2 linked regions of the Pelodiscus sinensis genome follow. The protein of the gene in region 2 purifies or fractionates together with the protein of the main gene of each other region. This does not show direct contact. Links are inferred from orthologs where the notes say so. Each region holds a gene or a part of one and is shown on either strand. Other genes may lie near its edges.

The links. The genes of interacting proteins can lie anywhere in the genome.
Region 1: the proteins of WASF2 (region 2) and CYFIP2 purify together in Homo sapiens (co-immunoprecipitation; 3 studies listed by BioGRID and IntAct, with this or other methods). This does not show direct contact. The link is inferred for Pelodiscus sinensis from reciprocal best matches to the Homo sapiens genes WASF2 and CYFIP2.

The regions. Positions count from the first base shown.
Region 1 is NC_134727.1:39,280,114-39,290,160, forward strand, and holds the start of CYFIP2 (cytoplasmic FMR1-interacting protein 2), read left to right. Parts: upstream 1-5,738; 5' UTR 5,739-5,898; intron 5,899-10,047. UniProt on the Homo sapiens protein: Involved in T-cell adhesion and p53/TP53-dependent induction of apoptosis. Does not bind RNA. As component of the WAVE1 complex, required for BDNF-NTRK2 endocytic trafficking and signaling from early endosomes.
Region 2 is NC_134735.1:12,301,791-12,311,753, forward strand, and holds the start of WASF2 (actin-binding protein WASF2), read right to left. Parts: upstream 4,848-9,963; 5' UTR 4,710-4,847; intron 1-4,709. UniProt on the Homo sapiens protein: Downstream effector molecule involved in the transmission of signals from tyrosine kinase receptors and small GTPases to the actin cytoskeleton. Promotes formation of actin filaments. Part of the WAVE complex that regulates lamellipodia formation.

The DNA.
Region 1 (10,047 bases), on a different chromosome or scaffold from region 2:
CCCAGAATCCCTTCGGTGGGCGGTGACACCCAGCACATTGGTAGCATGCGGAGCGCGGAACCAGTCCCACACCGTCTGCCTGAGGCGCTCGGTGGCAGGGGATATTCCATGTCCACGCCCACTGCCACCTGGTTTTCATCACAGGGAATGGATACAACTGCCCCTGTCGCATGCACAGCCTGGCCTGCCGGGGCTGGTGCAAGGGGTGTGGACACCGCCAGCTCGGCTGCCAGGCCGCTGGTGCCCTTTGACAGTCCGGTCTGTTCTGATTCAATAGTGTAGCCCCTGGGTTTGGGGCAGCACCGCCTAATGGCCAGAGTCAGTAACACAGGGGTTTGGGGCAGTAGTCCTGGTAAGGGGGCCCAGGCCCACCCTACTCCACCGGGCCCCAACCCAGGGCCCTGTCAGTGGGGGCATGATCCGCCACTCACTCAGCAGGGAATCCCGCCGCAACACGCTGAGCTCACTCAGGTGGGAGGTACTCGCCCCCCCCCCCCCCCCGGCCACTTCCTACCAGATCCAGTGTTGGGTGCTCCATGTGGTCTCTGGGTCCACAACACCAGCCTCTCCCTAAGGCTCCTCCGGCTCTGAGGGCTCAATGCTGTCTCCTGGGTCTCCAGCTGGGGTCCCTCTGCTCCTGCAGCAAGTCCTTCCTCTCCAGCATCTAGCCCAGACCGAGTAGAGCTGCTCCTTTTTATACTGCCCAACACTTGGAGCATGCCCAGTCTGGGTGGAGGGGCGGGACTTCCTCTGCCCACAGGCTTTTAACCCCTTCTGCCTACCCTGTCACAGTCTGTTTCACTGAAACAGCTTGATGAGCACAGGGGAAACTGTGAGCGGGTCCCCCTTAGTAGCATAAACTCTCCTTTTGCTCCCCCAGCTGTAAGCCTCCCTGTTTTAGCTGCTCATTAGCTCTAGCACAGCGGTTCTCAAAGGCTGTGTTTAGACTGGCAAGTTTTTCCAGAAAATCAGCCACTTTTCCGGAAAAACTTGCCAGCTGTCTACACTGGCCGCTTGAATTTCCGCAAAAGCACTGACGATCTCATGTAAGATTGTCAGTGTTCTTGCGGAAATACTAGGCTGCTCCCGTTCGGGCAAAAGTCCTTTTGCGCAAAAGGGCCGGTGTAGACAGCTCAGATTTGTTTTCCATAAAAAAGCCCCGATGGCGAAAATGGCGATCAGGGCTTTTTTGCAGAAAAGCGCATCTAGATTGGCCACAGACATTTTTCCACAAAAAGTGCTTTTGCGGAAAAGCATCCTGCCAATCTAGATGCGCTTTTCCAAAAATGCTTTTAACGGAAAACTTTTCCGTTAAAGGCATTTCTGGAAAATCATGCCAGTGTAGACGTAGCCAAAGTGTGGTCTGCAGACCCCTTCAGGGCTCGCCCGCCTCCCCGCCACAGCGGGTAGCCTGCACTGTTGCTCCAGCTCTGCAGCCCCTCGTGTGGTTGGAGTGCCAGCACCAGCTTCTCGCTGGGCGGGAGCCCCAAGCCTCACAGGCCAGATCTGGCTTATTCCAGGGAGGAAGCAGATCTGCATGCTGCTGCTGCTGCTCCCCTTCCCCTGGCGGCTGGAGGAATGGACAACACGGTGAACCACTTCCCTGGCCACTTTTCACATTGCTCCCATTGGCTGGAATCCCAGCCAATGGGAGCAGCAGGGGGCGGAGTCTGGGAGCAGCGGAAGTGCCCAGACCCCTTACCTCCATCCCCCTCACATACACCTCTCCTGCCCACACCCCACTGCTGTATCCCCTTCCTGCCCAGACTCCCCATTCCCAGCCTGCTCCTGCATCCAACTTCGCAGCCTGACCCCCATCCCCAGCCCGCTCCCACCCCAACCTCGCACCCCCACCCGCTCCTGCACTCTTTTTGTCATCTGGGTGGTTGGCTGGCGGTCCGTGGAAAGGCTGTCATTGGGTGGGGTGGGCTGCAGGCCAAAACGTTTAGAACCCCCGCTCTAGCAGACAGTCACGCTAGTCAGACCACAACTCCAGGCGGAGCAACGTTGCGCATTTGTGTATGAGACGAAAGGGGATCTCTTTGCGTTCTGCCCCCTCTGTCGACCCTCCCACGATGCTCGCCTAGAAATGAGCAGCCCTTGGCAGATGCCAAGCAGCTCTGGGAACTACCGAGCTCACACGTGGGCGCCCGAACATCATGGATGCCTGACTTCACGTCACAGGCTTTGAAAGACATGGATCACGCCAGCACTGGCTTTTCGGCAGCCAGCTTCCCAACGGTGGGGCTAATTTTTAGGCAAAGAACCAGCCTGAGATCAGCCCCTTACCCAACACAGTTTTGCTTGAACGGCCACTTCATTGAGCGCTATCCTTTTAAAACTTTGTGCCCAGAGTGTCCTAGATTTTAAGACTGGAGGAGCCCCGGTGATCATCTAGTGCAGCGGTGGCCAACCTGCGGCTCCCGAGCTGCATGCGGCTCTTTGCTTAAAGAAAAGTGGCTCTTGCACGCCCAGACTGCTCCCGGCCGGCCCCTCTGCACACGTGCCCCAGTGCCTGGAGGGAGAAGCGCATGGTGGCAGCAGCTCCAGGACCCAGGCATTGGGTTAGAGCAGGGGGAAGAGGGGGACTGTGGGTGCCGGGCTCTGGGGGAGGTGAGGGGGATGGGGTTAGAGTGGGGGGAGAGGCGTGCCTGGCTCTGGGGGAGGACGAGGACATTGGGTTATTGCAGGGAGGCTGGGGGATGCCTGGCTCTGAGGGAGAGGGGGGATTGGGTTAGAGCAGGGGGGCTGAAACACCTTAAACTGAAAGTCCTCATGGATGCAGAATAAGGCAGCCAACACAGATGTCATATTTAAATCCCAGGGCAAAAAAAGAATCAGCATGTACCTAGTTTACACTGGGTTTCTTTAAAGAAAATTCAGAGGCGATTGTTTGCCAGGCTGAAGCCATTATTCTGAGATGTGGGTCTCTCCCATATTGTTTTGAACCTCTCAGATTTGCAGTCTGGGACAGATTGAATTTTTAGGACTAGAAAAAAGCCATCATCTTCATAAGTAAAAAAACGAGTAAACCATACCAGAGATCAACAAGCTAGAGGGAAACAGGCACTTCAAATTGTCTATACCCCCCCATCCCCATACATCCCCCCCATCAATACAACTAAATATATAATACATGGCTCTTCACACTCTATCCACAGCTATTTTGGCTCTTTGTCTCTATCTGGTTGGCCACCCCTGACCCAGTGCAACCTCCTGTATGAATCAGGCCACAGAACTTCCCTGGCTTATTACTGTTCCAAGTCCACTAGCTGTGACCGTACGGGCATAGAAAAACATCCACATTTCACTTAAAGATTTCCAGAGCAGGACACTCCCCAACACCCCTTGGAAACTTGCTCCAGAGGATAAATCCCCCCTCTGTTACCGCCTTCCACCTTATTTTGTGTACTCATTTGTCTAGCTTCAAATTCTACCCATTGGGCCTTGTTGCCAGTATCCCATTCCCTCCATAAACGTATCCTACTTAGTACTGGAAGCCAGCTCGAATGTTTGCCCCCACAACTCCCCTTGGAAGGCTGTGCTAGAACTTCCTCCTCGTATGGACAGAAACCTTCATCAGATTGCAAAAAAATAAAACCTGATTCTGGGCGGCTTTCACAGGAGTGTTGTGAGCAAGACACGAGAAGTCCTTCTTCCGCTCTGCTCTGCGCTGACTAGGCCTCAGTTGGAGGACTGTGTCCAGTTCTGGGCACCGCTTTTCAGGAAAGCTGTGGAGAAATTGGGGAGGGTCCAGAGAAGAGCAACAAATACGATGAAAGTTCTAGAGGACAGGAGCAAAGAGAGAAGACTGAAAGAATTGGGCTTGTTTAGTTTATAAAAGAGAAAACTGAGAGGGGACATGGTAGCAGTTTCAAGTACCTAAAAGAGTGCAACAAGGAGAAGGGAGAAAAATTGTTCTCCTTGGCCTCGGAGGATCGGACAAGAAGCAATGGGCTTAAATTGCAGCAAGGGAGGTTTAGGTAGGACATGAGGAAAAGCTCCCTGTCAGGGTGGTTAAACACTGGAATAAATTGCCCAGGGAGGTTGTGGAATCTCCATCTCTGGAGATATTTGAGAGCAGGTTAGACAGACACCTGTCAGGGCTGATCTAGATGGCGCCTGGTCCTGCCACGAGGGCAGGGAACTGGACTCGATGACCTCTCGAGGTCCCTTCCAGTTCTGTGATTCTATTTCAAGCCCAGACTTGTTGGAGGCCTGTATCTATCCATTTGTTCTTGTGGCCACACTGGCGCATAACTGAAATCCCTCCTCTCCCTCCCTGGTATGTTTCCCTTGGGTGTATTTAGAGAGAGCGCTCAGATCTTCCCTCCACCTTCTTCAGATCAGGCCAAACAAGCCCAGTTGTTTGTGTCTCCACAGAGGGAAGATTTTCTATTCCTCAGATCAGCCTCGCAGGGTGTGGGTGCAGGGGGAGGGCGGTGGGTGGGTGGCAGTAGGATGTGAGCTGACGGAGGGGTGTGGGTGGGTGCAGGGTGTGAGCTGACGGAGGGGTGTGGGTGCAGGGGGAGAGCGCTGGGTGGGTGCAGGGTGTGAACTGACGGAGGGGTGTGGGTGCAGGGGGAGGGCGCTGGATGGGTGCAGGGTGTGAACTGACGGAGGGGTGTGGGTGCAGGGGGAGGAGGGTGGGTGGGTGCAGGGTGTGAGCTGACGGAGGGGTGTGGGTGCAGGGGGAGAGCGCTGGGTGGGTGCAGGGTGTGAGCTGACGGAGGGGTGTGGGTGCAGGGGGAGGGCGGTGGGTGGGTGCAGGGTGTGAGCTGACGGAGGGGTGTGGGTGCAGGGGGAGGGCGGTGGGTGGGTGCAGGGTGTGAGCTGACGGAGGGGTGTGGGTGCAGGAGGAGGGCGCTGGGTGGGTGCAGGGTGTGAGCTGATGGAGGGGTGTGGGTGCAGGGTGTGAGCTGATGGAGGGGTGTGGGTGCAGGAGGAGGGCGCTGGGTGGGTGCAGGGTGTGAGCTGACGGAGGGGTGTGGGTGCAGAGGGAGGGCGGTGGGTGGGTGCAGGGTGTGAGCTGACGGAGGGGTGTGGGTGAAGGAGGAGGGCGGTGGGTGGGTTCAGGGTGTGAGCTGACAGAGGGGTGTGGGTGCAGGGTGTGAGCTGACGGAGGGGTGTGGGTGAAGGAGGAGGGCGGTGGGTGGGTGCAGGGTGTGAGCTGACAGAGGGGTGTGGGTGCAGGGTGTGAGCTGACGGAGGGTGTGGGTGCAGGGGGAGGGCGCTGGGTGGGTGCCGGGTGTGAGCTGACGGAGGGGTGTGGGTGCAGGGGGAGGGCGGTGGGTGGGTGCCGGGTGTGAGCTGACGGAGGGGTGTGGGTGCAGGGGGAGGGCGGTGGGTGGGTGCAGGGTGTGAGCTGACGGAGGGTGTGGGTGCAGGGGGAGGGCGCTGGGTGGGTGCCGGGTGTGAGCTGACGGAGGGTGTGGGTGCAGGGGGAGGGCGGTGGGTGGGTGCCGGGTGTGAGCTGACGGAGGGTGTGGGTGCAGGGGGAGGGCGCTGGGTGGGTGCCGGGTGTGAGCTGACGGAGGGTGTGGGTGCAGGGGGAGGGCGCTGGGTGGGTGCCGGGTGTGAGCTGACGGAGGGGTGTGGGTGCAGGGGGAGGGCGCTGGGTGGGTGCCGGGTGTGAGCTGACGGAGGGTGTGGGTGCAGGGGGAGGGCGGTGGGTGGGTGCCGGGTGTGCGTGGCAGGAGGGGCGCGCAGGGCGGGACCAGTCGCTCCATCCCCGCAGCGCGGCGCGGCGCGGGCGCACGGAGCATCCCGCAGGCGGGCGGGGCGCGCAGCGGGCGCGCAGCGCAGGAAGTGCACTTGCTGCTCCATTTCCTGCTCTTTGTGTGTCTGACACCGATCGCGGCGCAGGCGGCTGCGGCTCGGAGCATCCTCTCGCGGCCGGTAAGCGGCGGGGCCCGGCCGGGCTGGGGGCGCCGCGGGCAGGGGGCGCCGGGCGGCCCGGGGAGCACCGGGCTGGGCACGGCCGGTGCCGCTTCGCTGCGCCCTGCCCGGGCTGGAACCGCGCAACAGGGGGATCCCGGCCGCTGGGGGGGCGCTTGGCCCCGGGCCATGACAGCTCGCCCAGGCAGGCAGCCCCCGGCCCCGCATGGAGCCCTGCCCGGCTTTGCCTGGGGTGCCTCGCAGCCCCCCCTCCCCGGGCTTGCACGGGCCCTGGGGTGCGGGGTCCCCATGCAAAGCACCGCGGGCAGGTGCAGCTGCGCCCTGCGAGCCACAGAGCGCTGCGGGGCCCAGCTTAGCGCAGGGGCTGTTGCAGGATGAGCGATCCCAGCATGCTGCGGGCTTATCCAGAGCCTCCTTGTTTATTCTAGTGCACCCGCCAGGCAGCCTAAAGGGCCCAATTCCCCCCCCCCCCCTTCCCCTCTGCAGCAAATGGGATGAGCTTAGAGTGAGGGGCTGGCAGGAGGCTGCAGTCTGGGGGAGCCAGCAGCCTCCCACCGCAGCCGCTTCCCCTCATTGCCAGGAGTTGGCCAGAAGGGCAGCGTTTAATTCGAGCCCATATCGGAGCCGTGCTGCGTGGACACGAGGACATGGGTGTGGAAGAACAATGGGGCGGCCCAAAGGGAAATGGACGGCGGGGTACACAGCCAGCGTGGCCACAGAGCCCGGGCAGAAAATAAAAGGCGCAAGTGGCTCGCAGAGGTGAAGGCGCACACAGTGAACAGAACAGAATCAAAAGTGCCCCCCTGGTTCTGCTGGCAGGGGAGGAGGCAGACGCGGTTGCAGTTTGCGTTGAGGGTGGAAATTAGGGACTTGAACTTTGGCTGGCTTGAGTGAGGAACCAAAAATACAGGCTTGGAAGTCTGCAAAGCCACATATCCCACAGCGGTTGCAGACCAGTTTTTCTCTCCTGTCATTTAAACTCACGGCCACTTTTCAGCGGTGAGACGTTTTCAAAACAAGAGGGGGGCCCACCCATCACGCTGGAGGTGAACTTTCGAACCCAGGACGTTTGAGTGGGCTTGAAAGAAGGAGAGGCACGTTCACTCCCAGTCTGGTGCCAGACAGGCCCTGAGTAAAAAGAAGGGAATGGATTTGGCAGGAAACGTCCATGTCCCGAGGAATCAGGATTGACCAGTGAGAGACAAGTGGAAACCTTTGTGCTTGCTCCTGTGTATTTGCTGGGGTTTGGTTTTTTGGTGGGGGAGGAGAGGGGACTGGCATTTACAGACACACGTTTGTAGTTTGGCAAGGAACAGGATATTGCATAGCTCGGCCCTCCTAGCCAGCCGTTGCTTTCAGCATGGTGGTTTGTTTCTAGCTGTGTTTCTTGGATCACAGGGGTCTCCCGTAATTGTGTCAGGTCGTTAAACCGTTGGACACTTCCTGCTCAGCCCAGGAAACTAAAAAAAAACATGTCCAAGTTTTACATTAGGAGGGCTGCCAGATGCCAGTCACCTTGGTAGATTCCTGGAGCCAAATTCTGCTGTCCACTTTCAGTGTAAATCCAGCGTCATTCCTCAGACAGGAATTTAGCCCTAATATATACGGCTGATTTTTGTTAGCAACGTTTATGTAATCAGCTGATGCCTTGAAATCTGATTAGGTTCAACAAGGACAAGTGCAGAGTCCTGCCCTTGGAATGGAAGAATCCCAGGCACTGTTACAGGCTGGGGATGGACTGGCTAAGTACCAGTTCAGTAGAAAAGGACCCGGGGATTCCAGTGGATGAGAAGCTGGTTATGAGTCAACAGGGCGCCCTTGTAGCCAAGAAGGCGAATGGCATATTAGGTTGCATTAGGAGGAGCATGGCCAGCACATCTAGAGAAGTGATTATTCCCCTTTATTCAGCTCTGGTGAGCCCACAACTGGAGTATTGTGTCCAGTTCTGGGCCCCCCACTATAGAAAGGATGTGGATGCATTGGAGAGGGTCCGGCAGAGGGCAACCAAAATGATTAGGGGGATGGAGCACATGACCTACGAGTAGAGACTGTGGGATTTGGGCTTGTTTAGTCTGCAGAAGCGAAGAGTGAGGGGGGATTTGATAGCAGTCTTCAACTTTCTCAAGGGAGATTCCAAAGAGGATGGAGAGAGGCTGTTCTCAGTAGTGACAGATGGCAGAACAAGGAGCAATGGTCTCAAGTTGCAGTGGGAGAGGTCAAGGTTGGATATTAGGAAAAACAATTTCCCTAGGTGGGTGGGGAATCACTGGGATGGGTTCCCTAGGGAAGTAGTGGAGTCTCCATCCCTAGAGGTTTTTAAGTCTCAGCTTGACAAAGCCCTGGCTGGATTGATTTGGTTGGGATTGGTCCTGCTTTGGGCAGGGGACTGGACTTGATGACCTCCTGAGGTCTCTTCCAACTCTCTGGTTCTATGATTCCAAAGCGAGGGTCCATGGAACAAACATGACCACTGAGGAGTCAAAGGCGGAACAATGTAATAATTCGTAGTAATAATAATAATATGCATGTATCAACTTGTCTGTCTTCAAGAAAAAGAGGAAATTGCTCTTCAAGGGATTAGCAATCAGTGATATTTCTTTGTCTATGTGCAACATTTCATTTCACACGAGGCTATTTAATACCAGCTATTTTTTGCCATCTCCCAGCAATTGTGATTATTCTTCGACAAAGGCCATTTCTAGGCATACAGCCCTGCAGCTGTACAGATGTCTGGTGGAGACGCTCTATGCCGATGTGAAAGAGAGCTCTCCTGTCGCCATAATAAAGCCACCTCTGCGAGTGGCGGAAGCTACTTGGGTGGGAGCTGCTCTCCCGCTGACACATCACTGTCAGTGTTCCGTATGTTGCTCAGGCGACAGCTGGTGTATTCATACCCCGGAGTGATGTAAATTATGCTGACGCAGGTGGTAGCGTAAACGTAGCCTCATTCTAATATGCTCTGAACCCATGTTGGCAACAGCTTGTCTTCTCAAAATAGCACGGGACTACTGTACTTTTGTGCCTCCTGCGTGAAGTTTTTGGTCAAATCAGTACACCGGCGTGTCTGAGGCATATCACAAACGCCGACAGTGCTTTCCCAAAAGCATTATCCCCATGTTGCACCTAGCACAGAGAAATTAAGTGCCTTGCCCAGGCAGCCTGCAGCACTGCTGGGAATCAAACGCAGGTCTTTGAAGGACCACACTGGGGCTTAATGCACATGCTCATCTGTCTTCCCCGGAGCTCCGCTTTTCCCCTACGTGGCCAACTTTGCCACTCCTCTGTCTGTTTCCCCGTGTCCCGACTGCCTGTTCTCCAGGGTGTGACGGGCAGCCAGACTAAAGGTGCCACACTTTAGAGTAGCCCATGCTGTTTCTTGCCTTATCCTGACCCTTTAAGATGTTATGGCACCAGCATGAGTCTCATCTGCTGGCTGAGGGCAAGCCAACTAGATGTCATGACCCAACTTGCTTCCTCCTTTGTTCTTGTCCACCGCAACTTCTGGGCAAGCAAAGAGCCAGTTCACCGGTTGTTGGCTGCCAAGTAGTTTGCAGATACAATGCACCAGTTATTGGGGAACCTGCCCCACACTGGAGTGAGGGGCCTTCTTCCTTCCCCCCAAAATTCGATTACTCTGAAGGATCAAGACTTGCCAGTAGATCATGGCCCGGGAAGTAGCTAAAAGAGACACTGTGGTCCAAAGACATTTCATGGCCAACACTTTAAGCTTGTTTGAAGTTTTAGGCATAAAATAATGGGCCAACCCTTGAAATTCCAAGTTCAAATTCGGTGGGAACTGACTCATCCCGTGTCCTTTTGGCGGAAGGCCGTTGAGTTCCGTGCAGTTCATTCTGTGAGGTCTTTCTGATGAGACCTTCATGTATAAGAACTTGTCTGCTCTGCGTGGGCCTTGAAATTCCCAACGTATGGCATCCTTTGAAAAGCTTGGCCCTCTTGTCCTCAGGCATCAATTGCGAAGTGCTGGATATCGCTTGCTGGCTGCACTTTAGCAGTGCTGGTTTTGTGAATAGATTTATTATTCCTGTAGAGCCTTAGGGTTGCCAGATGGTTTAAAAAAAATACCAGACAAAAATTTGTCGAGATCAAAAAAAAAAAAAGCACTGGGGAGTAACCAGGGAGACCTGGGAG
Region 2 (9,963 bases):
AGACAGCAATGCAGAAGGAAGAGTGGCATGATATGGTATTGCCACCTTACTTGTGCCCAGGTGCTGGTAGGGCGTTGCCTTCAGAGCTGGGTGGCCAGAGAATAGGCACCATTGGCCAGGTTCCCAGCTCTGAAGGCAGCACAGAAGTATAGCTATCCAAATCATGACTCCCTTGCAACTCCCTTTTGGGTCAGTACTCCTAGTTTGAGGAATGCTGGTCTCTCCCATAAAGACTGTATAGTATAGGATAAAAGCACACAGACAACCAGATTTCAGTCTATTACACATTTTTCATGATTAGCTGATAAGTGAAAGTGCTCAGAAGGAGCTAGCCCGCTGCGGCTCTGCAGTTTAAATGCAGTAAGAGCCGGTTATGTAGGCAGCCTGGCTCTTACTACATTTGAACTGCAGAGCTGCAGCGCGGGTTGCGCCTGGACCCAGCTCGCATCATGACCAGCAGCCCCTGTCTGCAGGGGGTCCCAGCTCCCACAGGGACCCCTAGCGCATAGAAGCTGCTATGGAGCAGCCTCTGTTCACAGCAGCCAGGCTGGCCGTGGACAGGGGCTGTTGCCAGAGCAGCTTATGTTCATGGCCAGATCCACTTGCCGCAGAGGCCGCTCTGGCAACAGCCCCTGTCCGCAGTGGCTGGCCACAAACAGAGGCTGCTTCACCGCAGCAGCTCCTGTCTGCAGTGGGTCCCAAAAATCCCTGCTGGGACTCCTGCAGCCAGGGGCTTCTGCCGGAGCAGCCTCCCACGCGCCTCCCGCACTGCTGCATCTGATAGAGGCAGCAGTGTGTGGGGGGTGAAGCAGCAATGCAGAGACTTTGCTGGAGGGAACCAGCTTTTAAGCCGGCTCGTCCCAATACCAGCTCCTGCTTCCCCCCACCATTCTGCCTAGGCTTATCGGGTAGTTGACTAATCGACTACTCTTTTACATCCCTAATTTATACACAAGTTTTTTTTTTTAATTATTTGTGTCACCCACTCAATCATTGATCAGAAGACATGTTCTGAACTGAAAACTTACAAATAAATCAAGTGTATTTGGTATGCATTGCAATTCCTAGTGACAATGGTATAAAATTCTGCTCAACGGAACATTATCAATTACTCATTCCTAAAGTCTCCTGTAGTGATAGCTCTGCACCTCTTTACAGGTCCATGCCTCTTTCCTTAGCAAGGGCATGTCTATATACCACAAACGTAAGTTGATTCTAAGTTGACATACAGCCTTTGCAGTAATTAAGTTGGCTGTATACGTCCACACCACACTGCTTGTGCCAATGGAGTGTATCCTCACTAGCAGCACTGCAGAGAGCAGTGCACTGTGGGTAGCTATCCTATAGTACAACTAGTCAGTCACTACTTTGTTTGATTTTAAACTAGAGCGTTTCAGATAAATTAGTGCATTTTTATCAGTTCTACTGCCTATAGTTAGAGACCTGCATAGATGCAAAATTTGTATCTGCAAAGATGAGCCACAGATATCTGCATCCATATCCATGGATGAGGCTGTGGATATAAAGTAGATGTCTGTGGATTTGCAGGGCCTTACCTATAGGCTGCTTTATTTCAGCTGTCTTCAACTCTTATTTTCTCATCTTTTCCAATTATTATGGGTTGTGCTATACACACTTCTGTAAATCAGGAATAGAAAACTTCAATAGAAATCTACCAGGCAAAATCAAAATGAAATGTTTATGGAGGTCCACCAGCCTGGTAAATAGACAACAGCTTTCCCAAACAATAGCTGAGTTGTCCCTTTCACTGCTATTCACCAGGTTCTAAAGAAAACAGTGAAACCAACCACAGTCCTGTTAATTTTACCCTTCAGCTGCTTGGAAAGACTCTCACCAGCAGCAGAAGTACTAGAGCCATTTGCATGCAAAATGGTAAGTGGACAGGAAAAAGGTTTCAGAGGGGTAGTTGTGTTAGTCTGTAACTTTAAAAACAATGACTTATGTGGCACCTTAGAGACTAACAAAAATACATAGAACCATGAGCTTTCATGGGTAAAACCCACTCCATCAGATGAGTTGGAGTTGACATTCAGTTCTCCCTTGGAAGATGATCTTTCTGTAACCCACATCCATTCAGTGTGACTCGCTGTCCCCATCTAGCGTTGGCTGGGCTACACATACTGAGCTTGATGATCCTGCTAGTAGATGCTCATGTTTTATGATTCAGAGATCAATCATTGCCACTGCCAACACACCCAGGGGAGTAGCATTAAAAGTGATGATTGTATGAGAATTCGAATCGGGTAGACTTGTGAAGTTTGGGAGGAACTTCCCCAAACCAGGGTATTACATTAAAAAAAGTTAAAAATATAAAAACAAATTTTGCAGCTGTGTTTGACCTACTTTCACCAGCCATTTATAGCTTTGCACTTACTCATGAGTCAATGAATGGATTTTCAAAGTCATGCTATTACTGTTTTTAAAATTTGTAAATATTATACAAGTCTGTTAAAGATTTTAATAATACATTTTACAAGAGGCTCAATATAGCCTTTAACCAAAACTTAACACAAAAACCCACACAAGAGTCAAACTAAAAGAAACCGATACAGAAATTCTACTGTACAGTAAGTCACAACAAAGGGCATTTTCATTCCTGTGACTTTTAATAGTAACAAGTTCTGCAGACATTTAGAACTGATGGGAAAAAAATCGTGGCTATTTTCCTTCCTCATCTGACAACCAGTTTGTGTGTGGGTTTACTCCATTCCCCATAAAGCAACATTGCAGAAGAACTGACAAGCTATGTGCCACCCTCATTCTCTGAGGATCTCCCATATTTTTCCACTATTAACTTTTCTCTCTCACAGGGCTGACCACACTTCTGGGTGCTAGTCAAGCAAGAGGACCAGAGAGGGCTTTGTAAATTATAGCCCCATTTACACCAAGAATATTTTCTATGCATTCCCCACCCACTGATTATATCAGTTCTGCTCCACTCCTGATTGCAGCTTTGGATGTCACAGACGGCTTGCCAACATTTTTAACACTGCACTGATCAAACCTCTTCTTAGCAGAGAGATATAAGGTGGTGTTAAGAACACGTATTGCCCAATCTGCACTAGGACACTGTTGCTAACAGAAGAGTTGAATCAATGTTGGCACCCATTAAAAGTTTTAGAAAATTTCCCTTTTGTAGACAGGGCCCTTAAGCTGTTGTCTCTATCAACTCCCTTGCTTCAAAAGAATACAGCTCATATCCTGAAGCAGCAGTTTTAATGCAGGCCTACAAGATAATTCAGAACAATCTGAAGAATATCTTCAGGAAGAGTATTGTCTTCAGACTGAGTCACAGCTAGGTTAGCTTCCTAAACTATCCCTTTCATATCCCACCAGCTACAGAACTCCTAAGCTAATGTCCTAGAAGAGACCAAGAATCAGTATTGAAGAACAGTGATAGAGATGTAGCCGTGTTAGTCTGGGGTAGCTGAAGCAAAATGCAGGACAATGTAGCACTTTAAAGACTAACAAGATGGTTTATTAGATGATGAGCTTTCGTGGGCCAGACCCACTTCCTCAGATCAAATAGTGGAAGAAAGTAGTCACAACCATATATACCAAAGGATACAATTAAAAAAAATGAACAAATATGAAAAGGACAAATCACAGACACTTACCTTCCGTCCCCCCCCCCCCTGCATCCCCCTCCTGTTCTGCAATGTGATTTGTCCTTTTCATATTTGTTCTTTTTTTTTTTTAATTGTATCCTTTGGTATATATGGTTGTGACTACTTTCTTCCACTATTTGATCTGAGGAAGTGGGTCTGGCCCACGAAAGCTCATCATCTAATAAACCATCTTGTTAGTCTTTAAAGTGCTACATTTTATTGAAGAACACACACACACAAAGACGGGGGGAAGGGCGGGCAGAAGAGAACTAATTCTTCCACCACCAAAATGCAGCCACCTCTGGGCTGAGAAGGCAGCAATCAGGCAGACAACAGCTTCATACCAATGTGCCACAATTCCACTCTCAAAAAACTCGCACCAACAAAAGCAGCCAGCTTCACAAAACAGGCAAAACTTTTTACACGCCCAAGCAGGCACGTCACCAGCTGTGTGGGCACCTTGGGGGAGAGGGGTGGGGGAGGAAGAAGGGTTCTTTGGAGAAAAACAAACAAACCCAGCCGTCAATCTTCCACCCAAGTCACCCTCCTCCGTCCAACAAACCCCCAAATCTGTTCACAGGCCTCTTCTCTCTACTTTCGGGTGCTACAGAAAAGCCTGTCGCCCCATTATCAACGCACGTCCTGTGCTAATCAGAGCTATACCGCAGGGATCCTGGCAGGCTCCACGGGCTCTCCCGCTCTTTGCCCTTCTCTGGCAGCCAAGCCCTTGAACAGCCCCCCCCCTTGGCGCCCCCCCCAGCTCAGGGGGTGCCCCCCACAGGGCCAGGCAGGGGCCCACACGCTTGGCAGTGAGGGAGACTCTGCTCCAGCGCCACCCCCAGGCAGGGAGATGGAGGCAGCCAGCCCCCCAGCCCCGAGCGGACAGGCCGAGCCCGCCCCCCAGGCCAGGCCTAGGCGGGGGGAGCCCCAGGCAGCGCCACCCATGGCTCATTATATGGCAGGAAGCAGGGCCCACCCCAGCCGCACGGCTCCCTATTTGGCAGGGGCCTGGCTGCTGCCCCCAGGTTCAGGGGCCAGCCAAGGAGACGGGCGTCGCTCCCTGCGCGCCCGCGCACTCACCCCGCTAGGCGGCCTCGCTTTCTGCTCCGGCTCCCTCCGCTCACTACCACCGAGGCGGGCCGCCCCTACCGTCCGCCATTCCACTCCGTGCCCTGACTGAAGCCCGCCCCGCCTCCCTCAGCACCGGTCCGCGACCCCATTGGCCCCCCGCCTCAGCCCTTCGGCAGCCGATTGGCCGCCTCGCCGCGTCCATCAAACTTGCTACGCAATTTGCGTATGCTCCCCAGCGCAGCACCAGGGCCCCACCCAAGCAAGCACCGCAAAGAGTCAACAAGGTGGAATGTGCCATATGAGCCGGGAGGGGAGAGGGCAGACACTATTTGGATTAAACGGAACAAGATTTTCTGGAGAGGCCAATCGATTATTTTGAATTATCACGGTACTGTCACTTTATTTCACGGGGATTAGGAGCGGCCGGAAAAGATTGTGCTTCCTATTTTGAGAACTGCTTGGCCTGCCCCTTCCTGGACTCCTCCTATTACTGCACTTGGACTTTGCCCTTCTTCTCTATGGTGTGAGACCCTCCAAGGAAGGTTCCACCTGGAGGAGTGGGGGTGTCATACCAGTATGACTGACCCATTTGTGAAATAGATATGGGGGGTGCACTTGGGGTGCATCTACACAACAGGGCTTAACTGGAAATAAGCTATGCAAATTGAGCTGCGTCACCTGCATAGCTTATTTCGAAACTGGGCGCATCCACACGGCACTTATTTTGAAATAGAGCACTCTTCCTCTGACTTCCCTTGCTCCTCCTACAATGAGGGTTACAGGAGTCGGAGTAAGAAATCCTCCAGCTTGCCAGTATTTCGACATTACTTTGAAATAACTGCCGGCTGTGTAGACACAGATTAAGTTATTTCAAAATAACACTAGCTATTTTGAAATAATGTTGCTGTGGAGACGTATCCTTGGGGTGCATTTACACCACACCCTTACCTCGAAATAAGCTACACAATTTGCATAGTGCAAATTGTGTAGCGTATTTAGCTTATTTTGATGTCATTTCAAAATAGCTTATTTCAAAATTTGGCGCTGTCTACACCATGCCAAATTTCAAAATAAGGCACCATTCCGAAATGTCCTTCACCCTTGTGCAATGAGGTTTTCAGGGACGTCGGAATAGCAAGCCCATTATATTTCAGGACAACAGGCTTGCTCTTAAGACGCGGAATAGCTATTTTGGGATACCAGCAGTGGGCAGAAAGGGAAGGGTAAGAAAGGACAGAGGAGAGAGGTCAGTAGTGTAGCTGTGGCTAATCTAATGCCACATCTCATTAGGGACATGGAGCTTAGGTTAGGTTAGCCACTTCATTTTGTCCATTACAACACTGATTGGGGGATGGGACAGACACGGATGGTAAAGGGTGGCAATGGCTGTTGTCTTTCATTGAAGACTATGGGGGACTCCCTTTTGCCCACCACCTGGTAATGGCCCTGCAGAGGGAGCAGGGAAAGACTGGGGCTGAGATAGGGCCCAGTTGAAGAGAGAGAAGAGATGGAGAGGGCAAGGGAGGCTGTAACGATGGGGAGAACCCAGGGAGAGGTAGTCAGGGAGAAGAGGCTGGCAGAGACAATGGATCAGGAGGCAGCCCTAGTAGAGGTAAGCAGAGATGAGGAAGCAGAAAGTGGAGGAGGACCTGTTGGGGCTGAAGAGGGTGAAGGAGAAGACAGATGTGATGGTAACAATAGGGGTGGCCATACAAGAGAGGGAAAGGACCTTGCTACTGACCCTTCTCGCTCCAGGGAGCGTGGTGGAGGCAGGAAGCTACAAGAACTAGAGGGGACCCTGGCAGAAGGGGATGGAGGAATTCTAAGGATGAGGTGTGGTGATGATGAGGAAGGCAACTGCTAAAAAAGAAAAGACTGCAGGATTTTGGGAGAGCCAAGGAGGTCACGGAGAAGACCCTGTTAATGGTGGGAAGGAGGTAGCCTCGGTTTGAGATAATCTGCCCCCTCAATTGCCCTTTACCTTGGGGAGCTTTCTCCACCTCCCTTCCTCACTCCCTATGGAAGAGCAGGGATATGGAGTTAGAGAGTTCAGATTGTGTTGCTACTAAACAGACAAAATCTAAGGAAATAGAAATATTTTGTAGCGGGCAGGAAGCCCTTTTTAAAATAACATCTTGTGTCCATGGTGGCATGATTTATTCCATATTCACAGGATCCTCATGTTTGGGATGCTCTCTCAATGCTGCATTACTGGCATTGCTTTTTGGGTGCAAGGCAAGACTTTTTGTTAAACCATTTTGGAGACCATAGCTTGACAGACTGAAATCCTGAAATATTTGGACTGTGCAAAGAAACTCGATACATCTGATCTAGTCCAGTTTTTGGCCCTGGTCCTGCAGGCTGATTCATGTGGATGAAACCACATTGACTTCAAGCCAGTTTGCTTGCAGCCACAGAGGTCTGTCTGTGCACATCTGATAGCAGGATTGGAGGCTTAGTCTCAGCTTCTAGCAGTTTCTGTTACATTGGTGCTGGGAGATTTTCTCTCTCCAGTAAAGCCCGGGAATTCATTTCTAATACTTTGCTAGTGGCAAAGGCAGCAAAGTCAAGTTAGCATCTCCTGGGAAGGACTAAACGATTCACCTGATTGTAACATATGTGAGTTGGGGAAAAAATTACCAATATAAAAACTGGAAAAAAAGTCGACAACGTAAGTAAGCTGTAAGCCTTCTAGAAGCAGATGTCTTCAACTCTGCAAAGACTTATGCGCATTCATCTTTTTGCATGTGAGCAGTCCCAGTAGAGCCAATGGGCATAAATTACTGAAGAGAATCAGGGTGAGAGTGGCGGGAGTACTGCACTGGGATTCTATTCCCAGGCTGCTGCTGGCTTGCTGGCAGGCCATGAGCAAGTCACTGCTTCTCTCTGTGCCTCTGTCTCCTCCCCCATCTATAGAATGGGGACAATGATGCTCCTGGCATTGGGAAAACACTTTGGCTGTGTCTACACTGGCATGAATTTCCAGAAATGCTTAAAACAGAATAGTTTTCGTTATAAGTATTTCCGGAAAAAGCACGTCTACATTGGCAGGCTGCTTTTCCGGAAAAGCCCTTTTTCCGGAAAAGCATCTGTGGCCAATGTAGACGCGCTTTTCCGGAAAAGAGCCCCGATCGCCATTTTCGCAATCGGGGCTTTTTTCCGGAAAAGACTACTGGGCTGTCTACACTGGCCCTTTTCCGGAACAGTGTTCTGGAATAAGGACTTATGCCCGAGCGGGAGCAGAATAGTTTTTCCAGAATAGCGGCTGATTTTGTACAGTAGAGCATCGTTGCTTTTCCGGAAATTCAAGGGCCAGTGTAGACAGCTCGCAGCTTATTCCGGAAAAGTGGCTGATTTTCCGGAATAAGTGGCCCAGTGTAGACACAGCCTTTGAGATCTAGGGCAGAAAAGTGGAATGAAGGAGGCAGTAATGTGAAGGAAGCGGTAATAAGTGTGCATCACTACTGGAAACACAGATATCCCCTTCTCTGTTCAGAAATGGCACCCTCAAAGGGAAAAGAAGAAATGGGAGCCAACAGCTTCCGTGTCACAAACGGCAGGTGTGAACAGTTGAATCAGAATTTTAAACATGTACAATAGATGCACCGGAGTGTGTTATTTAACTCTTCCCCCACCCACTCACTGCAATTGTTTCCCTGGCTATAGTTTTAAGTTTCTTCACTAATTGCTTGTTTTACTTAAAATACACAACTGGCTGGGGAAAAGTAATGGACCAACATGCAGTTAACACTATAAAAGACGTACATGTCTGTCCATTCAAAAGTACTAATCCAATTTTAAAATCAACTACACTTAATAAATTGCTGAATGCTAGCCCCTAGCTTCTGGTTGGTTGTTGGTTTTTTTTTTTTTTTTTTCAGTTTAGAATTGCTTTGGTGCTGACTTGTATCCTTTGCAAAATGCTGCTGCTGACCCAGTACTACCAGCTGACATCAATGCAGTCCTTCCTGAATGCAAGTTCTATCCTTGGGCCAGCTTTTCTGTTTCGCAGAGATTGTGCTCTGCAAACTGGGTGTGTTTCCTGATTCTCTTTTGACCCTGGTGCAGGTTAGAGCAACCTGGGAATTGCTGTAACCAGGACTAGTTTGGCAAGAGACCATCCCCTACTTCAGCAAAGCTGGAATGATTCGTGGTCCACCCACTCCTCCTTCCCTGTGCCTGCATGCTCTTCCTGGCCCCTGCAGGGAGGAGAGCATCGGAGCTGATTGTGCTTCTGGCTCAGCACCCACTCAGGACTCTCTCATCCCAAACTAGGGGGATGCAGCCAATCTCTATTCCCTTTGCATTGTACGAGCAGTACAGAGTGTAGCAGGAGAGAGAATGTGCCCCTTTGTTTTTCACACCACAGCTCTGTCTGAGACCCACTGCACACAGACATATATGATATGTGACTATTTCGCCGCATTTCTCGCCCATTCTGTCCCTCCTAGTGCACAGCCCCTTGGAAAGACAAGCCCTCTGCAGCAGTAGATCGATCCGCGGCTGAATGCTGCAGCAACTGGGGTAAACAAGCCAGTGTTCTTATCGCTCAAGAGCTCACCTATCGCCATCAGCACCCGCTACGGAACACCGCACCAACATTGCCCGGCACCCATCGCTAGCACCCCTGGGCCTGCATGCATCCCGCTTCCCTACGCCCTTGAAATAGTCAACCCTGGCAACCCGGTTCCACCCCCTCCTCCCACTTGGTCTTGCTCAAACAGCTACACCCTTTTCCTGGCAAAATCGCCCCTGCAAAGTTGAACTAATCAGGCATGCCCCACCCCTAGCCAACACCTCTCCATCTCTCTCTCCTGTGGTAACACACTTACACAGCTGTAACGCACAGACGTGGGCTCCATCTATAGGAAGGCATGAGAGGGTTCTCGCTTCCAGGTTTTCCATGCTGCCTTGAAGAGGATTTGCCTCCATCAATAGGTGTCACAGCCCCCAGGGAACCCTGTAATCTGTATCTGCACTGCAACCTTTATTGCTAGTCTGCGTGAGAGAGTCTCTTTATAACCCCTGAATTTCTGCTGAACTGCAATATCCCAAACAAAAGTGATTGATACCCCCTGACACTTGTTTCTCTATAAGGGCTGTGGTCGCCTGCCAATTGCCTTCCTGCATTTTCTGAATGTAAATGATTCTCCAGCTAAACTGCCATACAGACTGCCAAAGTGACCAGAAGAACAGCCCTACGCCAGCTGCAGCTGTGGCCATGCATCTTTTCAGCTATTTTGCTTGTGCTGTCTTTTTTTAC